7 linked regions of the Cricetulus griseus genome follow. The protein of the gene in region 5 interacts with the protein of the main gene of each other region in a pairwise test. Links are inferred from orthologs where the notes say so. Each region holds a gene or a part of one and is shown on either strand. Other genes may lie near its edges.

Region 1 (4,237 bases), on a different chromosome or scaffold from region 5:
TGACTGCTGTTCTACCAAATTGGAATGAGTAGGTTTTATTGCAAATGCTTTTTTGATTCCATTATTGCTATCTGCCCTATTTTATCCATTTAAAAATGGTTTGGGATTCATTAAACCATGAATTACAAATGCTTTAGAAATGGATGTGCAATTCAGAGTCAGTCACATAAAAGAACTTTTATATTTACTTAATTGGACTAGATTTTTCTCTTTGTTTAAGATTTTTGCTATTTTTTCTTAGATTTTCGTGCTGGACACTAAATACAACAATTTCAAAAGATGATATGCTTGCATAAATACATATTTTTCAAAGTTATAAATATAGTTGGAGTCAGAAAAGAATTTTAGATTAGCTGTAATATATTGCAACAAAATCATTACAAATGAAGACTTTTATGTAGGTAATTCCTTCATAGATTAAGCACCACTTTGCTTACTGGGACCCACTTTTGTGACTGTTGGGAACAGGAGCTTAGAAATAGTAGGTTTCTCTGTACTATGCACTGCAGAGGTAGCCTAGGCTGGAGGGTGGTGAGGTCACCTTGATAACTAGCTAACAACTCATGCCAAAATCTCCAGTATTTTCTGATACGCTATGTTCATATTGGAAGCCAGGGAGCCATGGTTTAGGGAAAAACAATAGGAGCTAGGAATGAACATGTCAACATAGGGACCTAGTTTATGTTAATAGAATCCACTCCTTACCTCTTCAACCAGCTGCAGCATGCGACGGGTGCTTTCCAGGGACTAAGATGGAAAAACATAAACACTGTTAAAGGCACTAACAGAGCACTAGGCAAGTCAGAAATGCTTTCTTCACATGAGAAACACAAAGGTCCCTATCACACATGACTTACACTTTGCAACAGAAACACCAAATGTCTTCCCAGTTTCAATCTCTTTCTACATGATCAGATTTCCCAGAGCAATCATATGAAAGCTTATCTTTATAAAACCAAAACCATATGAGGCTGATCTTGATATCAAAGGCAAAGCAATCTGGACAAATCATTTTGTATGCTCTGGATGCCTGGAAAACTATCTCATATACTTCAAGGACTACTTTGGCCTCCCTGAACTAGGGATATTGAATTTTAAACACAAACATAAGTTTTCATGAGGAGAGATGAGTTTAACGAGTTTCCTTTAAAACTCCTTGAAACACAACTGGAAGTTGTTATCAATACAAATTAAGCTGTCGCCTTAGGGTGAAAAAAAATCAAGCAAGTTTGCAATAACTATCCCATAGGAGACAGCTGTAATTACCTTCATTTTTAGATAAGAAAAAAAGCATGAAGAAAGCTTTGAGCTTGGCAGCTGGTCCCTCAGGCACAGCATCACCACTTTGTTCTCAGTTCCTTTAACATAGCTCCACTGCAACAACCAGTGTGATTTCTCAAAACCATGCTTTCAAATAGCAAATTTATGTTGGACAAGTTTCTGCAGGAGCCTGAAGGATGTGAATTTTTGCTGCAATGGACTTAAAGTGGACTCCCTTTTGTAATAAAATAGCTATTATCAGTGATGTGTTGGCAAAATGCTCTGACTCTGGGAAAAAATATAAATACATTTATGTATCTTTGCATCTATTGTAAGGCTGTGAAACACAGAGAGCACAGAGTTGACACATGATGCAACACAGCATCCTTGGTTAGCAGTTCTGTGTAGCAGGTTGATTCTCACCCAAAACTCCTGTCAGTTTTTTTTTTTTTTGTGTGTGTGTGTGTGTGTGTGTTGTCTATCTATGACTCCTCATATGATGAACTAGTATAATTCTAACATGGTCACTGCAACTGGATAACTTCACTCATGTTCATGAATAAGAAGAACCTGAAGCAGTGACGACTTAATGTTAGAATTAGTCTCATTAGTAAAGAAGGTGATGTTTTTGTTGAAAAATAAGTTTCCAAATAATGGAGGACTTCCTCAAAATTTCTTATATTTCAAAAACATTTTTACTGTTTGAGAATGCCTTACAATGAATTTTGATCATATTCACCTCTTCCACTCTTACCCCTAGCTCCTCCCTGATCCAACCCTCCCTCCCCACCCAACTCTGTATATTATTTTCTTAATGTAATAGCTACAGACATACATAATTAAAAAGTTTTATCTAGATTATTAATATTTTCCCTTCTGTCTTAACTATAGGTAATCAACAAACAATAAAGCAAGCACAACTGATATTGTTTGCCAATGACTGGTTCTCAATAATTGCTTTTGATTTGGTTTCTGAGTGCAGTGTGGTAAACTGACTCTGCAGTTTCCATTTCTTACATACAGTGAGTGTAAATGACTCAAGGGCATAGATAGCAGAAAAAATGTGCTAAACTAGCTACAAGTAATGACTTTTGAGCTCATAATACCATTGCTTTAATTATATATATTTATTTTCAAATTATGTACTTCAATTTTAGTAATAGCCACACTTAGTAACCTTCATTACTGAGGTAACCATGGCATACTGTTAGGTATCTAAAGATAAAGTTTTTCCTAGAGGACCCTGCCCTCCCAAGTGTCTAGGAGTCCTGCCTCAGGGCTGAGATGTTAATTTGTATTTGCGCCTTATAATCAATCCTGTCTAGCCTGCAGGAATCTTAGAGAAAAAGGAAGTTCTTTTTTCACCTTAAAAAAAAAATTAGACATTGAAGAATTCTTTTCTCAAAATCTGAATTGAAACCACCCACCTTCCAGTGTTGGGCTTGCCCCCTGCCTCTCTATGCCTTACCTCATCAGCCAGCTGGTCAGCCCTCCTCTGCATCTCTTCCAGCTCATTGCGCATATCTGCGTCTTCGGCCATGGTAATGGTAGGGGGTTGCTGGGCACCTGGACCAGCAAGTCAGCAATGGATTTGGCTACAGAACCTGAGTAGAAGCATATTGGAGAATATGAGAGCTAATATGAATGACTGCATACTGGAAAGTCTAAGTGTCACACTGTCACCAGGGTTTAGATAACTTCTGAACTGGAAGCCAAGCGCAGATAAGAATCAATAGAATTGTGTCATTTCTCCAAAAAGTACTGGGAATGAGTGTTTTATCAACCCCATCACTAAAACAGTCACATATTGGTATGTTTTATGATAGCTTGGCATTGTTGTCCAGGTTGGCCTTGAGCTCACCATCTTTCTGCTTCAGCTTCTGAGTGTTTCAATTACAGGTTGTAACATGAAAAATAAATGGACCCAGAGACAGATATTGGGGTTCAACCTGAAGATCAGGGAAGCAAAGCAGTCAAGCTACCAAAGTGCTCTTACCTCTAACAAGGCTGAGGCATTCCTATTCTCAATGTGGCTGGAGAATGAATACCTGACACTGAGACCTAGTTCCTGTCTTATATACCTTCCTAATGCTGGGATTAAAGGTGTGTGATCCCAGGTGCTGGGATCATCTTTATGTGAGCTGTTTCTCTCTTTAGGACTGGATACTTCTTGTGTAGATCTGGGTCGTCTTGGACTCACAGAGATCTGTTTACCTCTTAATCTTAGTCCTATGACTAAAGGTATGTACCTCCACTTCCTAGCTTCTGGCTTCTGGGATTAAAGAAGTGTGCCTGGCTTCTATGGCTTGTGGCTGACTTTGCTTTCTGACTCCTCAGGCAAGCTTTAATAAATCATAAATAACATATCACCACAGCAGGTTCACAGGAACATAAATGGCTTCATCTAGAGTATTTTTTTAAAGACGCAAACCATACAAAGCTTGGGAATGATGTGGTGAACAATGCAGGCCATTGTTCTTATATTTTTTAATGTTATATTTATTTAGTTATATTTAACAGTTTTATTGAGAAACAGTTGACATATTTAAAAACATACACATTTAAATACAGCGCACATATCTAAATCATACAGTTGTAAAACACTCAGTAACCCACTGCTCTGAAAAAGAAAATGAGCCAGTCCATTAATCCCCCACCAAATTTCTGTATACTCTTTGTTATTCTACCTGCTATTCTCTACATCCTCCTATGTCGAGGAAGCTGTTGACCTCCCTTTTGTCACTATAGTTGGTATGTCTTAGGATTATGTATAAATGAAACACTTGGCTTTTCCACTTGGTATTATATTGAAATTTTCCCATATGATAGCACAATTGCTAGACCATTCCTATTTGTTTGTGTGTAACATCCCATTGTATTTAGAAGCATTCAGCATTGTTATTAGAGGTTGTCAAGATTGTGTGCAGGTAAACAACTGTTATTCCAAAGTGGAATGAGCCCAGGGCCTTGAAATGTG
Region 2 (3,500 bases), about 49 Mb from region 5:
CCAGCAAAAGTACTTGTGTAGAAACTCCCCTCCCTCCACAAAGCAGGCTAATTAGAACTCTATTAGTTCATGACTACCAGGCCCAAACTCAGAAAGGCCTCATTGCCTTAAGTGCATCCCAAGTTGGGAGTGACTGGAGCTCACATTCTAGACACAGGCACTAAGCAGAACTGCTTCTAGATTCTTCTTGTTGCTGTCAGGCATCAGTCTGAATTCTTTCCTTGTTTGAGGTACACATTTGACTGGTAAGTGCTTTCTCAGTTTCTTTTAAAAACTGTTTAACTACCTCTTTTTCTGGAGTTCCCCTTCGTTCCCGAGATGCACTTCTTCCAAAGTCAGTCAGAGTAGATGAGTGACTTCTAGGTGACTCATGGTCTGTTGGAAATAATAAGGTGAATCAGAATAAGATTTGATTTCATTGAAAAGAGACTGTTTAGCCACTTTTCCCTGCTGGCAATTACTTTATCCCCAAATTTGGTGAGGTGTCACTAGTGAGAACATGGATGGAAAACTCATAATTAACTGTAAAGTATGATATAAGACACACATACACATTGAAAATGAAGAAATACACAACAGAAATATTATAATCTATAGAAAATATTATTATATTGCCAATTATTTACACTGCAATCCTTGGTGTAGATAATTCACAGTTGCAGGGATTTTCATACTCTAAATTTATCATGCTTAAAATTTCTATTCCTTTTTGGTTTCAATATAAAATTATTATCATAAGATATATAAAGAATTTAAAAGCTACACATTTGTAGGAAGAAAATGTTATATCAAATACAATTTAAGAAGTAATGATGAAATGAAAGATAAACTGTGAGCATGACAGGACTATGGTCATATTCTCCCATGCTCTGTGTGTGTGTGTGTCTTTTCTGTTTGTAAATACTCATTATTGGGTCTTATGATTTTATATCCTTTATGGCTTTCCCTTGTACACAAATGTTCAAGTAATCAGAGAGCAAATTATTACAGAAAACAAAATGTCAACCAGAAAAGCCTCAGATGAAGTTGCCAAATTGCTTATGGTATATTGAGGTCTTGTTTACATTAAAGCAAAGTTAAATAATTACATTTGAAAATTATGACTGCAAATATCCCTCTCAGTTTCTTAAAACTTCCATAGTTGTATGACTTGCATGTAGGAATGTAACTAAAGTTTGCCTGTATTCTGGTGGCATCAGGGAATTTTATCTGTGTACCTGGGTCTAAGTTTAAAAATTATTTATTCACTTTAACAAATTTAAATATGTTAAATAATACAAATCATTAAGATAAATTTTATTTATGTATGGTATAAATTTTTCAGTGTTTCAAATTCATGTTTTGATGATGTACTATGCTTATATAGAGGACCAGAAAATTGAAGAAGGTAGTTAAAAAATTGGATGAAACTTCTTTTAGTCTAAATAGAAACTGATTAGAAATTTTAAATGACTTATTGAATTTAAAATTTATAAGTCTATTTATAAAACAAATTAAATTATTTTACTATTATGCTATTATTCTATTTCTTAATATATCATTTTTATTATATATATTTTTGTGTGTGTGGGATTTTGGGGTTTTATCTGCTTGTTCTCTGTGCACCATGTATGTTCAGTGCCCTTGAAGGCCAGAAAAGGGCATTAGATTCTGTGGGATTGAAGTTATAGACAGTTGTGAGTTGCCATGTGCCCACTGGGAATGGAACCTGGATCCTCTGGAAGAGGAAGGAACAAGGGGTCCTAAAATTGAGCAATCTCTCAGCCCTTACTCTAACTTATTGTTTTTCAGCATGTTGCACAGTAGAAATTAAAGTGAAGGTAAATGTTAATAAGTAAAATTATCCACTAGTTATTAAGTTTTGTTTCCTTTTGCCCCTAGAAATTATATTTTATATTATACATTTTGAGTTAATAGGGCCTTGAATTCTCTTGACATTATTGTAATCTGTGTAAGACTGAGGAATTATATCCTCTTTGTCTATCAATTCCTCCATTGTAAAACAGCACTTACACTAATACCCATTCATTGACTTATGGGGGTTTCAATTAGGGGATGCATGTGGCTAAAGCTCCCCCCTCTCTCTCTATATATATAGACATACACACACTCAGCATATATGCTGAGTGGGGACAGATTTCTTTGAGTGAACAGGTACGATGTTCTAGCATGAATATAGAAATCAAGGGCCAAGTAGTGAAACTACTGACTGATTCATAATGAATCAAAATGATATCTTAGAGATGCGGATATTGAATTATAGTTTTGTCTTGATATATTATTTTGAATCTGAGTGGTGATTATTTCAGGGTATAAGATAACTGAGGAAAATGGCTATTTTGTTAGAAAGTTGGATTCTGACATATCTTAATCTGAAAATGTCCAGAACTGTCTTTTTAAAAAACATTGTAATCTACTGTTTGTGAAGCGTGTTTCGTAGCATCAGTGCAAATATACACAGTCACTAATGACATGGGGACTTTTCATCTCATCTGTCTTCTCAAAGTCCTACTTGTTATAACCCTAATATTAAGTGACAAATGTGGCTTGCTTTTATTTTGAAGTGAGCAAATGCTTAGGAAGTTGATGATTACTTTCAGTCAACACATGAACGTCAAATATCACACAGGCAAAAGAGAGCTACCGAGTCAGACACATCTGCACAGCACAGGTTTTCTTTGTAACACATAATGACATCAAGTGGTCTCACAGCTTAAGAGCGATGAGAGATGCAGGATGAAAAAAAAAAAAAAGAATGAGTTGGGAGGATGGCAGCTGAACCACAAGGGAAAAAAGAAAGAAAACTTCATCCACCTTGGAGACTCAGTGCACTACCATAGTCCTGTGCATGGTAGCTGCTGTTGGCTGTGTCCACGTCTGGGAAGGAGGCACTGTGAGGCATCCTCCCACAATCACTTTGGTAGAGTGGACAATGAATAGCACCATCTTGAGGCAGTGGGTGGAAAGGCTGATGCACTGGGCTCCTTCTCAGAGCATTAAGGGATGAATTCCTCTCAGGGATCTCCGGCAACAGTTCGCTGATAAGTCTATGCAGTATACTGTTGTCTGGTAGGCTCCCCCTTCTTTTCTCGGCCTTTATTTGGTCACAGATGTCTTTGAGGGCGGAGTCCAGAGCCTCAACTACAGAGGCTTTGCATTTGGCCTGTTCAGGCTGATTTTTGGGAGTCACATTCTTTTTCCTTCGGAAAGGCACGGGGCTGACTAGAAATGCAAGTTTAGATAGGCCGGGGTCCATTTCTTGCCTTCTGGGTTGGTCAATGTTTTCATGCTTAGCTCTTTCATGTTTTAACATGGTGGTAAACCGAGTGTAAGAAGCTGGACATGGGCCTTTGCAGGAACTGATGAGGTGCCGGTGATGGTGGTGGTGGTGGTGATGATGGTGATGGCTGGATCCGTAGAAGCTTTCAGAAGACGTGAAGGAGAAATGGTCAAAATCACTTTCACTGCAAAAGGATGACCCTTCAACGTGAACATAGTCG
Region 3 (3,500 bases), on a different chromosome or scaffold from region 5:
CTCTGAGGAGCGCATTCCAAGACAGAAAGCCTGAGGTCCAGAGCAGTTAAGCAACTTGTCCAAGTTCACACAGCTAACGTACAACTCAGCTAGACTGTGATCTCCACTTTTATGATTTTAAAGATCACCACTGTCTCTTTGCATTGTGCTTGTATGCCCATCAGTTTTTGAGCTGCTAGAATCAAAGAGACAGACCCCTCTCACCCCATATTCCCAAGAAGTTCAGTCAGAGAGCATGCCCTCTGGAATTTCCTACTCTAGACAGATGCCTGATAAAAATGTTGAGTGATTCCAGAGCCTGGGGAGTCAGCCTGGAGCAGGTAGGAGAGCATGTTTAAGGGATACATGGAGGTGGACCCTCCACCATACATAAGCACAGGTCTGGCCAAATGGAAGGAGGGAGACAGGGCCGACCATGATGCTGTCACATGATCCCAGGTCCTCCCTTGGGAATAGTCAGAATGTAGCTGGTGACTCTGGGCAGATTAAGCCCATGTCTGTCTCCCTTCCTGGTTCTCTTCTCACACACTTGCCTGTTTGGGCTATGACACACATGCACTTTCACTGAGGGTCACAGACAGATTATTATCCCTTCCATTCCACAGATACCAGATAAAAAGGGCCTGGAGTCTGGCTGCTTCTCTAGCCCCCCACATAGCACATGGGTATACACACAAGTGTATATGCTCACAGACTCCTTCCTTGTTAGCTGATTTCTGCGGTTTGTATACATTTAAAAACAGCTCAAGATTCTTGTCCTAGATTCGAGATCAGGCTCCCCCAGCATGACTTTTTTCCCTTGTTCAAACCAGCTTTCCTGTTTAAACTCTAAGCTGAGACAATGACCACAGATCTGCCTGCCCGAGTGTCTTTCAGCAAGGGCTTTGGATCAGGCAGTTTGCCCACGCAGCAGCCTTGCCTCTTGACTTCCACATCAGAGCCCAGGACTGGGAAGCCAATTGGAACTTTGTTCCAGCTCCCACTAGGGCACCCTCTGCTGAGAAATGTCCTTTAGAACCCCAGACACTCACCTGCTTCCTTGGTCCGGATTCGGCTAGAGGGCCCGCTGGGCTCCCCAGTGCCCAAGATGTTGCTGGCTGAAACCCGAAACTCATAGTCCATCCAAGGCATGAGACCCAGCACCTGGGCAGTCTCAGCATTGCCCTCGATGTTCACAGGATCTGCAAGGTCCAAGGGGGTCAATGGCTAGCATCCATTTATTGCCAGGATGAGGGCAGGTACTGGGCTTGTGAGACCTTTGTATTCTGCCCTCATTGTGGTGCTACCATATGTTAAGCCTTCAATTACTCTTGATTGAAAAGCTACTAAGCTCCGATGCCTCAGGGCCTTTGCCAATGCTGTGTGCTCCTCACTCCACACATGTTGAGCATGCTGGCAATCTCCAGCAACAATCCTTTGAAGGCTTCAAAGGTACAGACCAAGTGCCTCCTCTAGTCCTCTCCTTACCTTCCTGCTGGCTATAATTGTGTCCCTGCCTGCCTAGGTGCTCCCTGGAGATAGAGAACACAATTTAATTCTCTTTCAAGCCCCATGCTCAGCCTTTGACTCTCTGATCCCTGTCTCCTGCTGTGCACACAGTGGGAGATTTATCAGTACTGATCCACGTGGGGCCTCACACTTACTGGTCCGAACCTGCTTCCACTTCCCGGAAGGTGGAGTTCGAGCTTGCAGCGTGTACTTGGCAATAGGGCTGTGATTGTCAAAGCCACGACTCCAGCTAACCTGGACAGTGGTGTCTCCAATGTCTCTCACCACCACACCCCCAGGGGGACCTGGAGGACCTGTACCAAGAAGCAGAGTACACTGGGTCAGAAGTAGACAGCTCCCAGTTTGAGCCCGTTTTCTCCAGACCCAGCTTGGACTGGCTCAATATCTAGATGGGGCATCACAGGGCAGGAAAGATTGGGTGGAAAGCCAGAGCACAGGGACAGAGGAGCATGGTGGGAAGTTTTGTGTCTCAGACTTGCAGGCTCACAGATGCTGTCCATAAGGGGATGCATAGATTTCCCAGCACCGAATTTGGAACTCTCGGGCTTAGCAGAGTCTTGGGACATTTAGGGAACATTTTCTTTCTCGAGTACAGCTTCCGAAGAAACATTCTACTCATTTAGGACCCACGAAGAACCACAGAGGAAGTAAATAGACGTGTCCATCTCTGTGACTTCTTTCAGCTTTCAGGGAGTGAAGGGAGGTGGGGAGGGTCAAACAGCCTAGAGCCTCTCAGGGAACTGGGGTAGCCGACTCCCATCACCTCGGACCAGGACTGTGGCCTCCTTGGATGCTCCATCCACCACTGTCTGGGCCATGCACATGTACTTCCCTCCATGGCGTAGCTGGGCATTCAGGATAGTCAGGTCCCCAATAGTTTCCTTCTGCGCACAGGGAACAGCAAGGTGTGATGAGTCAGGGGGAGGCCCTGACTAGAATAAACAGAACCTGAATTCTCTGGCTGCCTGGCATCTATGTCCTCTGTTTTCCTGTCTGTTCAATGGGAAGAATCACTACTTGGTATCACTGAACAACAAAGTGTGTCACATAAGACAGTCTGCATGGGCATTTGTATTGGGGAAGAGCGAGAGTAGCAGAGAGACCCTCCTGGGGCACTTAGAATGCTAACGCTTGATTCTAACTTAGAAGAACAGGCATTGGGTGGATTCAGAAAAGGTGGCTGTCAGTCCTAGGATGGGCTTGCTGGGCACTGCCTCAGGGGTTAGGGAGAACTTTGGAGGGCTTGAAGATGGTGATGGCTGAGGACACATCAGGTCCCCTGTCTTATCTGAAAAAAGGGAGAGTTACAAGACCCCTGGCCTTACCACACTGGCCCTCCGGTAGTGACCTCCAGGCTTATCGAAGTTAATGGGAAAGTCATCCAGGGTCCAGGTGAATGTGAGATCCATAGTGGGGTCATGGGAGGCATGGCACTGTAGTGTCAGGTTATCACCCACATTGATGTCAGCACTTGAAGGGGCTAGAGTGATCTTGGTTGCATCTACAAAGCAAAATAGCAACAACAAAAACAAAGCTCTTTGATGTAAAGGATGGAAAAGTCCCAGGCAGGGAGAGCCTCTGTCCTGTACCCCAAGAAGAAAATTCATGAGCAGCCAGATTCTGGAAGCTGGCCAGGGTTGGTCCCAAGAGAAAGGGAGTTCTGAGGTAGCCTTGGAAGCAGAAGTATATGGGACCAGTAGCAGATGGCTGTCAGAACAGCACCCCGGCAGCTGACCACAGGTCTGAGCAGAGCACAGTCCTTACCGCGCACAGACAGGATCCCAGTACTGTTAGCTTTGCCCATGAAATTCTCAGCAAAGCAGGTATATTTGCCTTCATCTGATCGGCTGATGTTTCTGATAATCAAGGTGCCATCTGAAGTTACCGTCACTCTGCAGCAAGGACACAAAAGATCTGGTCAACCCAGGGATAGATTCACTGTGGCCCATGGAAAGGGGATTGGCCTCCAAGAAGCCCTCTCAGTTGTGGCA
Region 4 (2,250 bases), on a different chromosome or scaffold from region 5:
TGCAGGGCCAAGCTCCCCTGCCCCCTCTTCCATCAGCAGAATTCAGAGTCCCTGTTGTCAAGCAGGACACCTCCCTGGGCCAGCCTTCCTAATCCCCAGACACAGCAACCCTGCTTAGGTGACCATAACCCCCCCACACACACCTGGATCAAAACCCAACATCTGCCCACCCCCACCCCACCCCAAGACCACGACTGCCAAGGTGCTCCACCTCTTCCTTGTAGAACCCAACATCTCATATATGCCAGACCAGTGACACTCACCAAGTAAGTGACCCCAGAAACTGCACAACCCCAAAAGGACCCTACTGCAGGTAGAAAATCAGCACAAAATTGTAACGCAAAGTGGGAGTGGGCAGAAGTCTTCTGGAGTGCAGCTATGCGTGGCCTGGGTCCACAGCCCTCCTTAAGGTAGCTGTTGTGCTGGGCCTGGCTCAACTGTTGACTCACAGGCCTTCTCTGGTCCAGCCTCAGCAGAAGGAGGCTCGGGAAACATTGGGGTGCGGGGTGAGGCTTTATTTCATTCGCTGTAGGGGAGCCTGGACAGGGGGCAAATGGGCAGGACTAGTAGTAAGGGCTGCCCCCAGGCCTACTGAGAGGGAAAAACTGAGGCCTGACCCCAGAGGGAAGAAATGGGACAGAGACAATTGGGTCTAGAGGAACAGGGCCCCTCCCTCTGGGCTGCACCCCATGCCCCCCTTCAGGGCCTCAGTCCTTCCTGCTTGTTGGAGGTGTATGACCCTCAATCGTTGACTCCCCAACCCAGAGGAGGCAGCTCAGCCAGGGAGGGCAGTGGACAGGGAGCCTGGGGGAGTTGGGGAGCACAGGTCAGGATCCAGGTGTGCAGGGGGCAGTCAGTTCCTGGCAGCAATGACCACAGAGAGAGCCACGCCCCCCAGAGCCACAGCAGTCGCCCCAAACAGCCACTTCCATGGGATGGACTGTGGATAAAGGAAGGGTAAGGCTGGCTGCATAGCTGAAGCAACTACCATGGTCCACACAGACCTTCTAGCAGGGTTTTTAGCATTTCTAAGACACTCCTACATACACCCCAACCCAATCCAAACACCCACTCCTTCAATGTATTTCTTTCCTCTGCATGAACCTCCAACCCTCACCATGAGCCCTGCAGCTCCAGAGTCCCTCCTTCAGCCTGGGCTGAAGTCTGTATCCCCAGCATTGCCCCCAGCCCAGCCACACCCCAGCTCACCCAGGTCCCCTTGCCAGGACATTTGGCGGGCAGCCGGCTGGGGTTGCCCAGCATCTTTCGGTACAGGGCGGTCTCTGTGCTTCGCTGTGCGGCTCGTTTCTTTACCAGCTTGGAGAGCTCCGCATGGATCGTCTGTGGGAGGAGGGTGGCAGTGGGTGCACAGTGCAGGAGGCGGCAGGCCTGCCTGTCATCACTACTGCTCCCCTCTTCTGGTACGCAGGTTTGTCAGGTGTGGGGGCCCCTGGAAAGTGGAGGTTCTACCTACTCCAATCCACTCTTACAAAGTGGGAGCTGCTGCCCCACCCCTAGGCAAGCCAAAAGCTAGAATGGCAGTAATAAGTAGAAATAGACAACTGGGGGACTTACTAGACAAGCCCACCAGAGTCCTTTCCACTTACCTTGTTGGAAGGTTCCAGCTTCAGGGCAGCCCTCAGGATGGGAATGGCCTCACTGTATTCACCTTGCTGAGCCAGCACCTATGGGAGAGGGGCACCCAGTCTTTGTATCCACCCAGAACCTCGCTCTCCTCAGCCTTGCAATGACTCCCTGATCTCAAGCCACAGTCTGGTGGTGAGACACAGCTTGGCACTTGCATCACTACTTGGGGATAGGTACCCTCAGAGTACAGGGACCTCAGCTCAGACTCAGCACCCCAAGTCCTATGAACCCCACCAGATCTGAAGGCAGCTCCCCTGATGGAGCAGTTCCAATAACTGACCATTTTTCTGGATTTTTCTGCTATAGCCCAGATGGCCTGGATCTTGTGACAATCCTCTTGCCTCAGTCTCCTGGATATTGGGGGCTTCAATCTCTCTTTAGGCTTTGGCTGTGTTGCTGGGTCTGTCTGGCCCATGGATGCCACAGGGCCTTGTTCTACACTGCGGGTTCCCAGACCATGACAGCTGGCTCCCCCTGCACACATGCTTCATAAGCAGCAGCCGATGAGCTGCTCAAACACCTCATGCGTCTCTGTGCCTCACCTCCCCTGGCCCAGAAACAACTGCCCTGGGCCCAAACAATCCAGGCAGAGGGGATAGACTG
Region 5 (4,214 bases):
CAAGTCAGAAAGAGCCAAGATGTGGAGCTCTACCTGGAAAATAGAGATGACAGCAGTATGATAGAAACAAGAGGAGACAGAAGTATAGGGTCAAACTTAGCAAAAGAAGACAGGCACATCAAGGTTGCAGTGACAACCAAGAGAAGAGACAAGGAGGCACAGGGAGGTGGGAGAGCCAACAATAGGTAACTGATAATTGGCCGGGGGCAGGATTCACTAGTCTCCTCCTTCTAACTGAATAGAGAAAGGCAATGAGTAGAAAGTCAAATCTTTTGTTTTTATTTCAACATTTGGGAAATGCTCAGTTGTGGCAGTAGTCCTATATTAAATAACTGGGACCAATAAAACTATAACCTTGCTTTAATTAGAAAATAGGGGTAGTTCAGTTAGAGCATGCACACACAGACACACATATAGACAACAACAGCAAAGTAGGAACTCAATAGCTGAGGCATGCTTTGTCTGTAGTAATACAGTTGATTTTTGTCAACACAGAGGGAACACATTAACAAATATGTGTACTACATTTTGGACGTGAGGGCACTGAGATACAGAGAAAAACACAGGTGAAGGAATATCTGCAAAGTCGTTTGACTGACGGGTGATGGAGTTGGGGCTGGAACACAGACAGCCTGGCTCCAGGATCTAGACTCACACCCGCTGGCTTCCTCACATGTATGAGGCAAGATAGGCAGAACAAGGCATGCCGAAAGTACCAAACAGGCCATTTCATGCAATGTGTGTACAGGAGAGATGAATGCTAGCAAAAATTCAGAAACATGCGTGGGTGCTCAGAGCAGTTAAAGTGGTGGGTGGGAATTCTGGAGGCAGTTTATGGGATGGTGAACCAGGGAGCTGAGGAAGGAAGTGTCTGGCTGGCTGTGTGGCCACATCCTAGCTCAACACACCAATAGGGTCCCATTCTCTCTACTTTTTCTTCCACCGCATCCCCTTCCCAGTCCAAATGGCTTCCCCATCAGAACTGCAGGGCACACAGGGATGAAAGAACCAGGCATGGGGTACAGGAAGAGTTATCTTAATGCCATGCCTTTATCTGTAAAATGACAGAGTACAACACCTGCTTTTATGGAAGGCTGTGGCATTAAGTGGAGTTACTGACTTGAGAAACAGTCCAGGAAATGGAGGAAGAATTGTTGTTTCTCATCATTTCAGCCACCCTTTCCATTTTCCTCTTCAACTCCAAAATCTTCCTTCCTCTTCCCAACTTACACCTGAGTTTCCATGTAACAATATTAACCTTGAAACCTATTCCTCAAACAGGACAGATTTTAAATACATTAGATCCCTTTCCCATGAGTGGTTTTGGGGTCCAACTGCTGTTGGTCCACTTTGGGAGAAACATCAAGTGACCAAATTCACAAGCATTTGGTGAAGCACACTAATTGTTCTGTTATTTTTCATTGCTGTTGTTAATGTTTTGCTATACCTAATCAATGAACTGAATGATGAGAGCCATATAGATTCAGGAAAGGCATGGCATGTATGGTTTTGGACACCTAATGTTTCAGACATCCAGTTTTGCCTAGGAATGCTTCCCTGCAATATGAGGGAGTGACTGCATGTCCTTTCTGCCTCTGGCCCAAGTTTATTTCCTATTAACACAAACTCTCACTCACCGAGGTTGACCGGAGAACTTGGTCATTTATTTCCATCTCTGGATGTTATTCCTCATCCATGGAAGAACTGGTTTCTACCTGGCTGAAATCTCTTTCCATCTCATTACCTATCATCTTTGTAACTGCCACCCACTGAATCCTGCAAACAGCACTCAGTACATGTGTTTCACAAACATGTCTTCTCTGAGTTAGGATTAACTGAAATGACAGATTTGCCACATGCCATCAGAATCCCTCTTGGCCTTGATGTCCCACCTCTTACCCTGTAGGTTCCGCATGGGCAGTTCTCTAAGCCCGGTTCTGTTTGTCCCATAGTTGGACAGGACAGCTAAGGCATAGGTGTTTTCATACAGAGTGTTCCCCCTGATGATCTGCAGGTTCTCCAGAGGGATCTTCTCCACAGTGTTGAGGGCAATGAGCACATAGCCAGCAACCTCCTGGATGGTCTGAGAGGGAAAACAAAGCCTATTAAAGTGGGCCCAGGAGCCCCATTTAACTTCACAATGACACATTCATGTGGCAGATAAATCTAAGACACATAGACAATCACATGTGGGTAAAGGTTGTGGCAGGATTTGCAATGATTTCTTTCACGTTTCATTTGAAGGTTACATTAAAGAACAGCTGATTGATATGTTGTGATTCCCACTTTAACTCAAATAAATGGAAGTGAAAATAACTATTTTGAATTCATCTCTCATGATTTCTTGTGGAAGGAAGAAGTGAGGGAGAAGGGGAAGAAAAAATGAAAAAGAAATAAAGGCAAAGTAAACCCAGCTGAAGTCCAAGTGTTTGCATAGCAGATTTTGAAGCCTTCAGAGTTGGCTCCTAATGGCTCACTAGGAATATTTAGGACTGTGGAACATCAGAAGGGTTTCTCTCCCATTTTCCCCCACAAGCAACTTGACTTTAGCTGGAAGAGTGGACTTCTCATAACACTCTCCTATAGTCCCTTGGATTTGTGGCTTCCATAAGATGAAGTATCCATGCCTCAAGTCAGATTCTACTGAGTGTTCATATTTCATTTGATAGTGTTTGAATAGGACAACCACATTAAACGAACTAACCTTTAAGAAGGAAAGGTCATAACCCCTTTGCACGTAGGTAATTTCCAAGTTCCCAAGGACCACTTCACAGTTGTTGAACATCCTCTGCAGGCTCAGAAAGTGGTCTTCAAAAGTGCCGAGTTGAGTGAGCCTGTTACTTGTGCCTTGGCAAACTAGAATAAAAGGGAAAGAGGTCTGTCAGAAGATGCCGAGTAAGGTAGCAAACCACAACAAAACAATACTCATCAGCTTTCTGAGCCACAGTGACTAACAATCATCTTTGATCAAAGCCACCACAATGCTGATGTGGTAAGAGATGTTTAAGTTTACACAGCTGTAATTCATCGTGAGACAGAACTCATCCCTGTGATGCAGGCAATCATGTGATATTAAGGACACAGAGAAAACAAAGCATTAAAAGTGGAAGGCGGGGGAGATGTAAATTGTATAGAGGATTGTATTAGTTACTTATTTTGTTTCTGTGGCAAATCACCAGACAAAATCCACTTAGTGAGGGAAGGGTTTATTTCAGCTTACAGTTCTAGGGAAGACAGTCAACTATGGCAGAAAAGGAATGGCAACCAAAATGTGGAACATCTGGTCACATTGCATTCACAGTCAGGAAGAAGAGAGAGGTAAGTACCTCTCAGCTCTCTTTCTCCATTTTAATTAGTTTGAGGACCCCAACCATGGAATGGTTCTGGCCACCTTTAGGGTAGAAATTCCCAAATCAATTAACCTCATCTAGAAAACTGTTCACAGATATGCCCAGATGTCTATTTCTATAGTGATTCTAAATCTTGTCATGTTGACAATCAAGTTTAACTGCAGAAGTCTCTAAAATAGAAAGATAGCAATTAAATTTCTGTGGATGACACAATTGCAAAATGAGTTAATAACAATGCAATGAACATTTTACTTCACAAAAATATGTGTGCTACATTGTTGTGTACACAAAGGGTCTCCAAAACCACAAGACACAATCGGCAATGTTTTCTAACCCCAATTCTATATACCTAAAAATCAATGAAAACAATGGAATTTTAAAAGTCAGCTGTTAGAAATTAAAAATACTCCTCAGAATCATTCAAGGACAAATCAAAGTTCTGATTATAGAATACCCAGAATTCTTTTTTAAACTGAAAAATAACGCTTTAAAGCCATAGGCTAGTAAGAACCCAACATGTCCTTCTGTCTTTTTTCACATTGTGTTATTCCAACTAACACAGGTATCCATGTTTGTCTTGCATCCCCGCCAATATACAGCCTGTCAAGACACAGACTTAATCCGAGAAAACATGCGAAATTAGGGGCCAAAGTTATACCACAGAAATGCACTCAGTAGTCTGCATTTAGAAGCAGAGGAAAGGATAGTAATAAAATGGTATTCACAACTTGGCTTTTGGGGAGACATGTTTAGGCAAGCAAAACAAAACAAAGAGGCTTGGAGCTTTTGAAGCAGGGAGCTTGTTAAAGGATATACTTTGAACCAAAATTATCCTAAGAGTGAAGAAATATGGCCTCTGGGTTT
Region 6 (3,500 bases), on a different chromosome or scaffold from region 5:
ATCAGTGCCAGACTATGGAAACTTGAGGCAGAAGGATTACAAGTTCCAGGCTTGCCTGGGGGGCAGAGCAAGACCCTATCTGAAGGAAAGAGTGAGAAAGGACAGGCCAGAGACTAGTGTGTCTCACCCGTGGGCCATGTGCAGCAAGACTAATGGTCTAGCTCCTGCTGTCTGTGGTGACAGCCAGTGACTAGGTGTGACCACTAAGCACTTCCAAAGTGCTAGCCAAGAACTGGTTCTTGACTGGCCTACTGATAACAAAAGTTCAAATAGTCACATGTCCCTAAGACCCTCTCATCAAATCCCTGGGTTGTACCCTACTACTCACTGTGATGCTGTGACCAGGTACTTGGCTTGCTTGCCTCAGCTCCAAATGTGAAACAGAATGGACCCACAGTGTGCTACATGAAGTATGCAAGGTTCCCAGGACCATGGAATGACATGTGCCTAATGCTTCTGGACAGACCTCCAATGTTGTGAGCCAAAGGCCCTCAGAAGAACACCCCACAATATCTTGCTGGTCTTACCTTGTCCATTCGATCCTTCTGTACCCCATACTTCCCGCCAAATCCTTTGGCATAGTCTGAAAGGTAGTAAAGGCAAGAATTCTGTGAGGATGAGACTGGGCGAGCAATGGCAGGCACATGCACAGGGATCCACAAAACAGCCCGGGGGCACGAACCAGAGCAGAGGGAGGTGAAAGCTGCCCGAGGATGGGCTCTCCTGGCAAAGCCAGCTGTCTAACCACAGTGCCCAGTGCAGGCAGGGAGCAGGTGAGGTGTGGGCATGCTTCCAGGAATAGGGAGAGGGAGGGGATGGGCAGCAGGCCGGTGGGAAGGAAGCCAAGGAGGAAGGTCACAGGACAGGCCTTTGCAGTGCACACTTCTATAGCACAGTCTTCACACCAGCCAGGGACTTATTCTCATCTGCTTCCTGGGCGCCTGCTCTACTGGGCACTAAATAGAGGCCCCACCGTAGTTTGTTCTCTTGCTTTTTAAAAGAAAAAAAAAACAAAAACAAAAACAAAACTCCGTGTCGAAATGCCACCAGACAAGTATGTCTGTTGCTGCCACACACACAAACACATGAAAGTGATAGTCATGCAGCCTCGACATTACAGGAACCAACGGCCACCTCCACGCAGTCTTCTAGGCCAGTACTAAGTACATCCACCCCAGGCCTGATGGCATCTGGGAGTCTACACTCCACCCTGATTCAGGGAGTCACATGCCTCTGCCTGGACACTTGGGTTCTAGGAACCAGGTCTAATCTCTTGAGGAGAAAAAAAAAAAAAAAAAAAAAAAAAAAAAAACTGCAATAGCTACTGAGATTACCAGGGCATGCCTTGACCTGCCTGTATCAGCCATGCGCACAGTGTGCACATACAGTGTGGCTCTGGGTGGAGATGCTACACACAGATGGTGTGGTTAAAAACAAAACAAACAAACAAAAAACTCCAAACACACCTTGTACACCTGGCCAAAAAAAAAACAACAACAACAACAAAAAAAAAACTCACTACAAAGACACAGAGACTACACGAAACATGCCTGTCTTTCTCCATGACCCCAGTGTCTAGTTAACATCAGGTCTGGGAGAGCAAAACCCACTTCCCTGTGGGTCAGAGGCAATGAGGAGGGGCTCAGAGATTCAGCACTGGTGGTCAGCAGCAAGGAGGCCAGATGTGTCCCTTGCAGAAACTGCACTGCCCTGGCCTGCAGAGTGCCTCCTAACTTGAACTCTAAAGGTCAGAGGGGAAATGGAGGAAAGGGGCAGAGCTCCAGGATGTTGCTTTAGCATTAAACTAGGTGGGGACATCCCTGGCGGCTGGAGGCACAGGGAGCTAACACAGGCACTGTGGTGAACCCTGAAGTCTATGCTGCAAGTGGGCTGCACTGCAAGGGCTGCTGGAAGGAGGAAGGGGCAACTGTGCCTTGCTGGGACTCGTGCTTGGCCAATCTCTCCTTGTAATCAAACCCCACAGCGGAGGAGTCCTGCCTCTCGGACTGAACACCAAATTTGCCTCCGAACCCAGTCTTATAGTCTGGAGATCCACGCGAGACAGTGGGGAGCATGACCGAAAGAGGAAACAGCCAGATTAGAGTCACATGAACATGTGCAATGATCAAATATATCATGTTCGGACAGAAAGAGCGCTGATCCGGGCCTGAGGGTCTAACACTGACCACAGGATTAAGGGACAAACTTCCAAGTCAGTATACTTCAGCTGAAAGCAGGTTCGGAACTGGATGGTAAATAGTTTAGTTAAAGCTACTCCATGCTTTGAGGTTTGCCTGCAGGGTCCTTCCCAGGCTGCCCACAGGAAAGGGACAACAGAGGGGCTACTAGCCCCACTCCCTGTGCTGAAGGGACAGCTGGGGACAACTACAAGTGTTTTACTCTATTCAAACCAGCTTTTCCGGGGACAAAGTTCCCACTGTGACAAGAAAACTCTCCCAGTTACAAAGGAAGTGTGACTTGAGGGGAGGCTCAGAGGTAGAGAGAATCTGCCCAGCATAGACCAGGCTGTGGGTTCTATCCCCAGCACTGAAGAAAGAAGTGTGCCCTCCACAAACCATAGCCCACCTCAAAAGGGAAAACCCTGGGAACCCAGAGGGCCAAAGGCCCTTATGAGTGCTACAGGAACCAGGCTCCCAGTTGCTACAGCACTGGCATAGGGGGTGGGGACAGGACAGGATCACCCTATCCCCTTACCACCTATGCAGACCTCTGGAATCAGAGGAGACACAACTTCACACCATGAAAATGAAATTCAGACAGAAACACAGCGGACATGAGGCACGTGGCCGACTGAGGAATGAACACAAGCTTCTCAAAGGCCCTTGAGGAAGGCTGGGGGTGGGGCAGGGGAGTACCTTTTTGGGACTCATGCAGCTGCAGCTTCTCCTGATGGTCCCAGCCAAGGGCACACTTGTCTTGTCTGTCTGTCTGCACACCAAATTTTCCTCCAAACCCTTTCACATAGTCTACATGCACAACAGAAAGCCATAACCTGGCATTACTGCGCAGCCCAGAACAGGGGGAGGAAGCAGGCTTCAGATGCAAGGAGGCACGTTTCACTGGACCCGAGCTTCCCCCAGGAAACAGCTGGGATGAGACCCATCAGAGGCCCTCCCTCAAGATAATGGTGTCTTAGGAGTGTGGTTAAATAGGCTAAGCCAATGCATGCGGCCCTTGAGGCAGCAAGGTCTCATCACTCACAGGCAGACATGAGTGACTGGGGCATTGACACAAACAACACTAGGGCTTAGAGTCAAGGATGAGGCCAATGCCCGAGTTCTTATGTATCCACAGGCTGCGAGCAGCTGTCTTAGGTTGACCATTTGTAAAACTGCAGGTGACAACAGTTTTTCTCTTCTATCCTGGCCACACCTGTCACCCTGCGAGGGGCTGGCTAGATTAAGCACAAGTGGCAGGTACCTTTCTGGGATTCATGCTTCTCTGTTTTGCCTTGATACTCAAAGCCCACAGCGCTCTTG
Region 7 (3,978 bases), on a different chromosome or scaffold from region 5:
GTTCCTGGACAGCCAGGGTTGTATAGTAAGGTCCCATAGCACAAAAAGGAAAAAAAAAAAAAAAAGGAAGAGGAAAACCCAAATACTTTGCTCTTCTGATTTTTGTTCTAGCATCTCCTGACTATTTCATCCATGACTTCCCATTTTCCCACAGGTCCAAATCATGTCCATCCTTCAAAACCTCTTCCTAGTCTATTCATGACTTTTTCCTTCTTACAGGCAGGAAGGGGGAAGGGGTTACTGCTGCCCTCTGGGCCATGCTTAGTACAATAATCCCACAAAGTAAAGCTATGTGGATCTCTCCCTGAAAACTGTTAACCTTTTCCCTAAGTTTTACTATTTCAATAAACACTATATGAATAGCACCTGCATATAAATCAATACACCTTGAAGAGCTGCTCAAGCTTATCTTTAACAGTGAGCATGTAAAACTAAGAAAGCCCCAAATCACCTGCCTCCTCCATTCAGAAACAACTCTGGAGCTGGAGTGATGGCTTAGTGGTTAAGAGCACCCGCTACTGTTCTAGAGCACCCGGGTTCAATCACTAGCACCCACATGGCAGCTCACCCACCACCCTCTAGTTTCAAGAGGAGACCAGAAATACATGCAACAAACACCCACACATAAAAATTTTAACTGGTTTTTAAAAATTAAAAAAGGAAAGGGGAGGGGCTGGAGAGATGGCTCAGAGGTTAAAAGCACAGGCTGCTCTTCCAGAGGTCCCGAGTTCAATTCCCAGCAACCACATGGTGGCTCACAACCATCCAGTATGGGATCTGGTGCCCTCTTCTGGTGTGCAGATATACATGGAAGCAGAATGTTGTATACATAATAAACAAATAAAATCTTTAAAAAAAGAAAAGAGAAAGAATGAAGAAGGGAAAGGGAAAACAAAGAAGTCCAAATGCAGAATTCAGACACAACTCACCCAATAGCTATAAATCCCCAGAACCATCTTTTTGTATGCTACCATCTATCATCACTTCCTTTAAAACTCCCTTTCTTGTGACCAGTTTACACTTCCTATCCTTCCCTTTCCCCAAACTATGTGGTGTGGGGCACTGTTTATCCTTTACCTTGCATACATGTATTGTCAGTGAAACTAACTTGCTACTTCTCATCCAGTTTACACTAGTCAGTTCTTTCGATAAAAGTCACATCTACATCACCAGTCTCGTGAGGGTATTAGGATATCATCTGCTTCTTTTCCCTCTTCTCTAGTCTGTCCTCCTCTAGTGCTCTCAAAAATGGTCAACAACACCACAGAAGAACAAAAGAATCCACTTGGCTTCTAGAAAAAAATTAATACTCATTTTTTTTTCTCCTTTTTTGCTGCTGGGGCTTGAACCTGGGCCTCAGTCATACTGTGTGCACTGTCCCTGGTTTACAGAGCTCTATACTTAATTTTTCCCACTGTACCCTTTCTTATACTCTATTTCTGCTTGTTAATTACATTACTAGAACAGTAGCTAATGTATATAATAAAGACAAATTAACAGAGTATGTGCTCAAAAATGTATTTATTAAGAGTTTAGAGTCACTGGACCAACAAGATGGCTCAGTAAGTAAAGGCACTTGCCTCCAAGCCTGGTGGTGAGTTCAATACCTGAAACCCACATGGTGGAAGGAGAGAGTGATTCCCGGAGTTGTCTTCTGAGCCCTGCATACATGCACCCGCACACATATACTCACACACAAAATAAATGTAATTTTAAATAGTTTAGAGACAGCTCTTCTAAAAAACTATTTAAGACAGGGTAAGTTCCAGACTGCCTGGAGCACCTACCTATGCGTATATGTACACACAACTGCGACTCAAAAGAAAAACTCATTCATATCCTCATGGAAGCCCTAACCATACCCACCCATCTACAGCCCCAACCAGCCATCTCAGAATCCTGTGTCCTACTCAAGATACACAAAACAGGGTGGTTTGGTAAAGCCCTTCATTTTTAGTTTAGGGAAAAGACTCTGTTGAAAGTAGAGAGATGCTAAAAAGGGCTCACAGTTCACCATTCTGACACTGCTCACTGCCCGATTAATAAAACACATACCGAATATGCCACGATCGCTTAAGATGCAGTACCTATTTCCCAATTCCTCAGGGCACAACTCGTTCCCGTCGTTAACAACCGGTTTATCCTCCCACCTCCTTAACCTGTGCTCATACCTGCCTTCATCCTTCCCTCCCTAGGGATAGATACCACCCCTTGTTCCACAGTCCCCCCGTCCTGTCCCAGGACAGCAGCCAGTCTAGCCTGGGTCCCTAAGACCCCCTCCTCGCTCTCTGCCGCGGCCCCCAGACGCTGCCAGCCAGGCTGGAGCGCGGAGCCGGGCGGGGGGAGGGGTGTGCCTCGCCTCCCGTGACTGGCCCAGATGGCAGCAGATTCCGCCCCCACTCGCGGGCACCCCTCCAGCCCTCGCCCCCCGAGGGCTGCCCGTCCGCCTCGCACCTCGCCCCGACCCCACCCCACCTCCGGCCTCCCTCACGCCCTTCGCCGGCTCCGGACACACTCACCGTGCTGGGTGAAGACATTGAAGCCGGTGTCCGCGGTACGCCCCGCCGGGTCCCGCCTGCGGCCCGAGGGCCTGGCTGCGCTGCTGCCCCGGATCCCACGCGGCTGCGGCTGCTGGAGCCCGGGAGCCTCCCCGACGCGGCCCACCTGCTGCCCCATCCCGCCGCTCGCGTACTCCCGCGCCCCCGCCGACCCCTGCTCACATTCCTCCTCTGCTCCGGCCTCGGAGCTCCTGGCGCCGCTCCGGCCTCTCCGGCCCAAGCCCAGGCCCCGCGGGCCCGAGTCGCCGGCGGCTCCGCACGCGGACTCCTTAACAGCCGCCGCCGCGCTGCCTCCCAGCGACTCACAGACTCGCCTTCTCCCTCCCCCTCCGGCGGCTCCGCGCCCCAGCCGCCGCCGCCATCTTTAAACCACCGAGCACAGGACGAGCGTGGGACAGAGCGTCTCCCGCCCCCCTCTTGCCCAGGCACCTCCGCTACTCGGAGGGCGGAGCTCCAGGTGGCCCCGCCCCGCGCCGCGCCCCGCTGGGTGGAGGCAAGGGCCCACTGATCCACCGAAGCTTTGGGGGCCGTGGGGGGGGGGGGCTCGGATGCTTCACCGCGCCCGGCCTGCGGGTCCGAACCTGCCGGTGCAAACGTCCATCCACGTTGGGCTCCACATCACCCCTCTTGAGGAAGTGTGGGCCTCCCAATCTTTCCTGTCCCACCTCCACCTGTCAAGTCAGAAGAGGCTGAGAACTCACCACCGGTTCAGCTCAGCAGCCAACAGCTGAGGCTGTGAATCCCTGTGCTTCGCTGCCATTCAATTGAAGAGCCCTTGACACACACTTAGCAGCAGGCCTAGAGTGCAGTGTGAGATGGTACAAAATTCCTGGGGTAAAGTGCAGGGTTAACTTAATTTTAATTTGGGGAATTATTTCTTGATGTTAAATTCCATTCGCCTAGGTTGTGTGGGCTTTGAGGTGTTATTGGCAAAGCAGTTGTAACCAAATTTCTCTTACTACCGTGGATGGCTCCTGAACTCTTCTCCCGTCTACCTAACCGCACGTGTTTCAGTTTGCTTTAAAACGCTTGACAGTAAAACTAACAATCTCCCCTACGGACAGGTTTTCCTCACTGTGCACGAGATCAGGCCCTTCTTTGTTGACAAGGAAAAAAAATATCACTTTGACCTTGTTTCTGAGTCAGAACTTACTCATCTTTAGCTTCTGTTGTCTAAATAGTGTCACAGGAAGAAGAGAAGTGACTTTTATTGACATAAACCCTGTGTGCAATTGTCTCACCATCCTACCCCATTGTGTGTTCTTAATGTTGAACCAGTTGTAGGGGTTTTTTTGCTTTTTTTTTTTAAGACTCAGTGATGCTTATTTCCTGCTATTCCCTTGACTTCCTTGTTAGTTTGTTTAAAAGGCTCAGTTACTGGACATACCACTTGAAATTTTGCTTTTGAATGAGGACTGGA

What was found.
Region 1: the proteins of Egfr (region 5) and Snap25 interact in a protein complementation assay, tested with the Homo sapiens proteins (2 studies listed by IntAct). The link is inferred for Cricetulus griseus from reciprocal best matches to the Homo sapiens genes EGFR and SNAP25.
Region 2: the proteins of Egfr (region 5) and Sorbs2 interact in a protein complementation assay, tested with the Homo sapiens proteins (2 studies listed by BioGRID and IntAct). The link is inferred for Cricetulus griseus from reciprocal best matches to the Homo sapiens genes EGFR and SORBS2.
Region 3: the proteins of Egfr (region 5) and Cntn2 interact in a protein complementation assay, tested with the Homo sapiens proteins (2 studies listed by BioGRID and IntAct). The link is inferred for Cricetulus griseus from reciprocal best matches to the Homo sapiens genes EGFR and CNTN2.
Region 4: the proteins of Egfr (region 5) and Fkbp8 interact in binary tests that used the Homo sapiens proteins (3 or more experiments, as listed by UniProt). The link is inferred for Cricetulus griseus from reciprocal best matches to the Homo sapiens genes EGFR and FKBP8.
Region 6: the proteins of Egfr (region 5) and Cttn interact in binary tests that used the Homo sapiens proteins (3 or more experiments, as listed by UniProt). The link is inferred for Cricetulus griseus from reciprocal best matches to the Homo sapiens genes EGFR and CTTN.
Region 7: the proteins of Egfr (region 5) and Abl2 interact in binary tests that used the Homo sapiens proteins (3 or more experiments, as listed by UniProt). The link is inferred for Cricetulus griseus from reciprocal best matches to the Homo sapiens genes EGFR and ABL2.

Annotation. Positions count from the first base shown.
Region 1 is NC_048599.1:41,904,731-41,908,967, forward strand, and holds the start of Snap25 (synaptosomal-associated protein 25), read right to left. Parts: upstream 2,801-4,237; coding exon 2,729-2,800; intron 748-2,728; coding exon 706-747; intron 1-705.
Region 2 is NW_023276807.1:40,741,506-40,745,005, forward strand, and holds part of Sorbs2 (sorbin and SH3 domain-containing protein 2), read right to left. Parts: coding exon 2,815-3,500; intron 376-2,814; coding exon 287-375; coding exon of another isoform or gene 284-286; intron 1-283. UniProt on the Homo sapiens protein: Adapter protein that plays a role in the assembling of signaling complexes, being a link between ABL kinases and actin cytoskeleton. Can form complex with ABL1 and CBL, thus promoting ubiquitination and degradation of ABL1.
Region 3 is NC_048598.1:56,645,874-56,649,373, reverse strand, and holds part of Cntn2 (contactin-2), read right to left. Parts: intron 3,402-3,500; coding exon 3,274-3,401; intron 3,011-3,273; coding exon 2,835-3,010; intron 2,394-2,834; coding exon 2,273-2,393; intron 1,803-2,272; coding exon 1,644-1,802; intron 1,182-1,643; coding exon 1,032-1,181; intron 1-1,031. UniProt on the Homo sapiens protein: In conjunction with another transmembrane protein, CNTNAP2, contributes to the organization of axonal domains at nodes of Ranvier by maintaining voltage-gated potassium channels at the juxtaparanodal region. May be involved in cell adhesion.
Region 4 is NW_023276806.1:248,450,300-248,452,549, forward strand, and holds the end of Fkbp8 (peptidyl-prolyl cis-trans isomerase FKBP8), read right to left. Parts: intron 1,686-2,250; coding exon 1,608-1,685; intron 1,342-1,607; coding exon 1,210-1,341; intron 941-1,209; coding exon 854-940; 3' UTR 501-853; downstream 1-500. UniProt on the Homo sapiens protein: Constitutively inactive PPiase, which becomes active when bound to calmodulin and calcium. Seems to act as a chaperone for BCL2, targets it to the mitochondria and modulates its phosphorylation state.
Region 5 is NW_023276807.1:89,407,801-89,412,014, forward strand, and holds the start of Egfr (epidermal growth factor receptor), read right to left. Parts: upstream 2,801-4,214; 5' UTR 2,786-2,800; coding exon 2,705-2,785; intron 2,084-2,704; coding exon 1,900-2,083; intron 1-1,899. UniProt on the Homo sapiens protein: Receptor tyrosine kinase binding ligands of the EGF family and activating several signaling cascades to convert extracellular cues into appropriate cellular responses.
Region 6 is NC_048596.1:56,912,094-56,915,593, reverse strand, and holds part of Cttn (src substrate cortactin), read right to left. Parts: coding exon 3,442-3,500; intron 2,988-3,441; coding exon 2,877-2,987; intron 2,045-2,876; coding exon 1,934-2,044; intron 584-1,933; coding exon 528-583; intron 1-527.
Region 7 is NC_048598.1:35,301,439-35,305,416, forward strand, and holds the start of Abl2 (tyrosine-protein kinase ABL2), read right to left. Parts: upstream 2,801-3,978; 5' UTR 2,677-2,800; coding exon 2,520-2,676; intron 1-2,519. UniProt on the Homo sapiens protein: Non-receptor tyrosine-protein kinase that plays an ABL1-overlapping role in key processes linked to cell growth and survival such as cytoskeleton remodeling in response to extracellular stimuli, cell motility and adhesion and receptor endocytosis.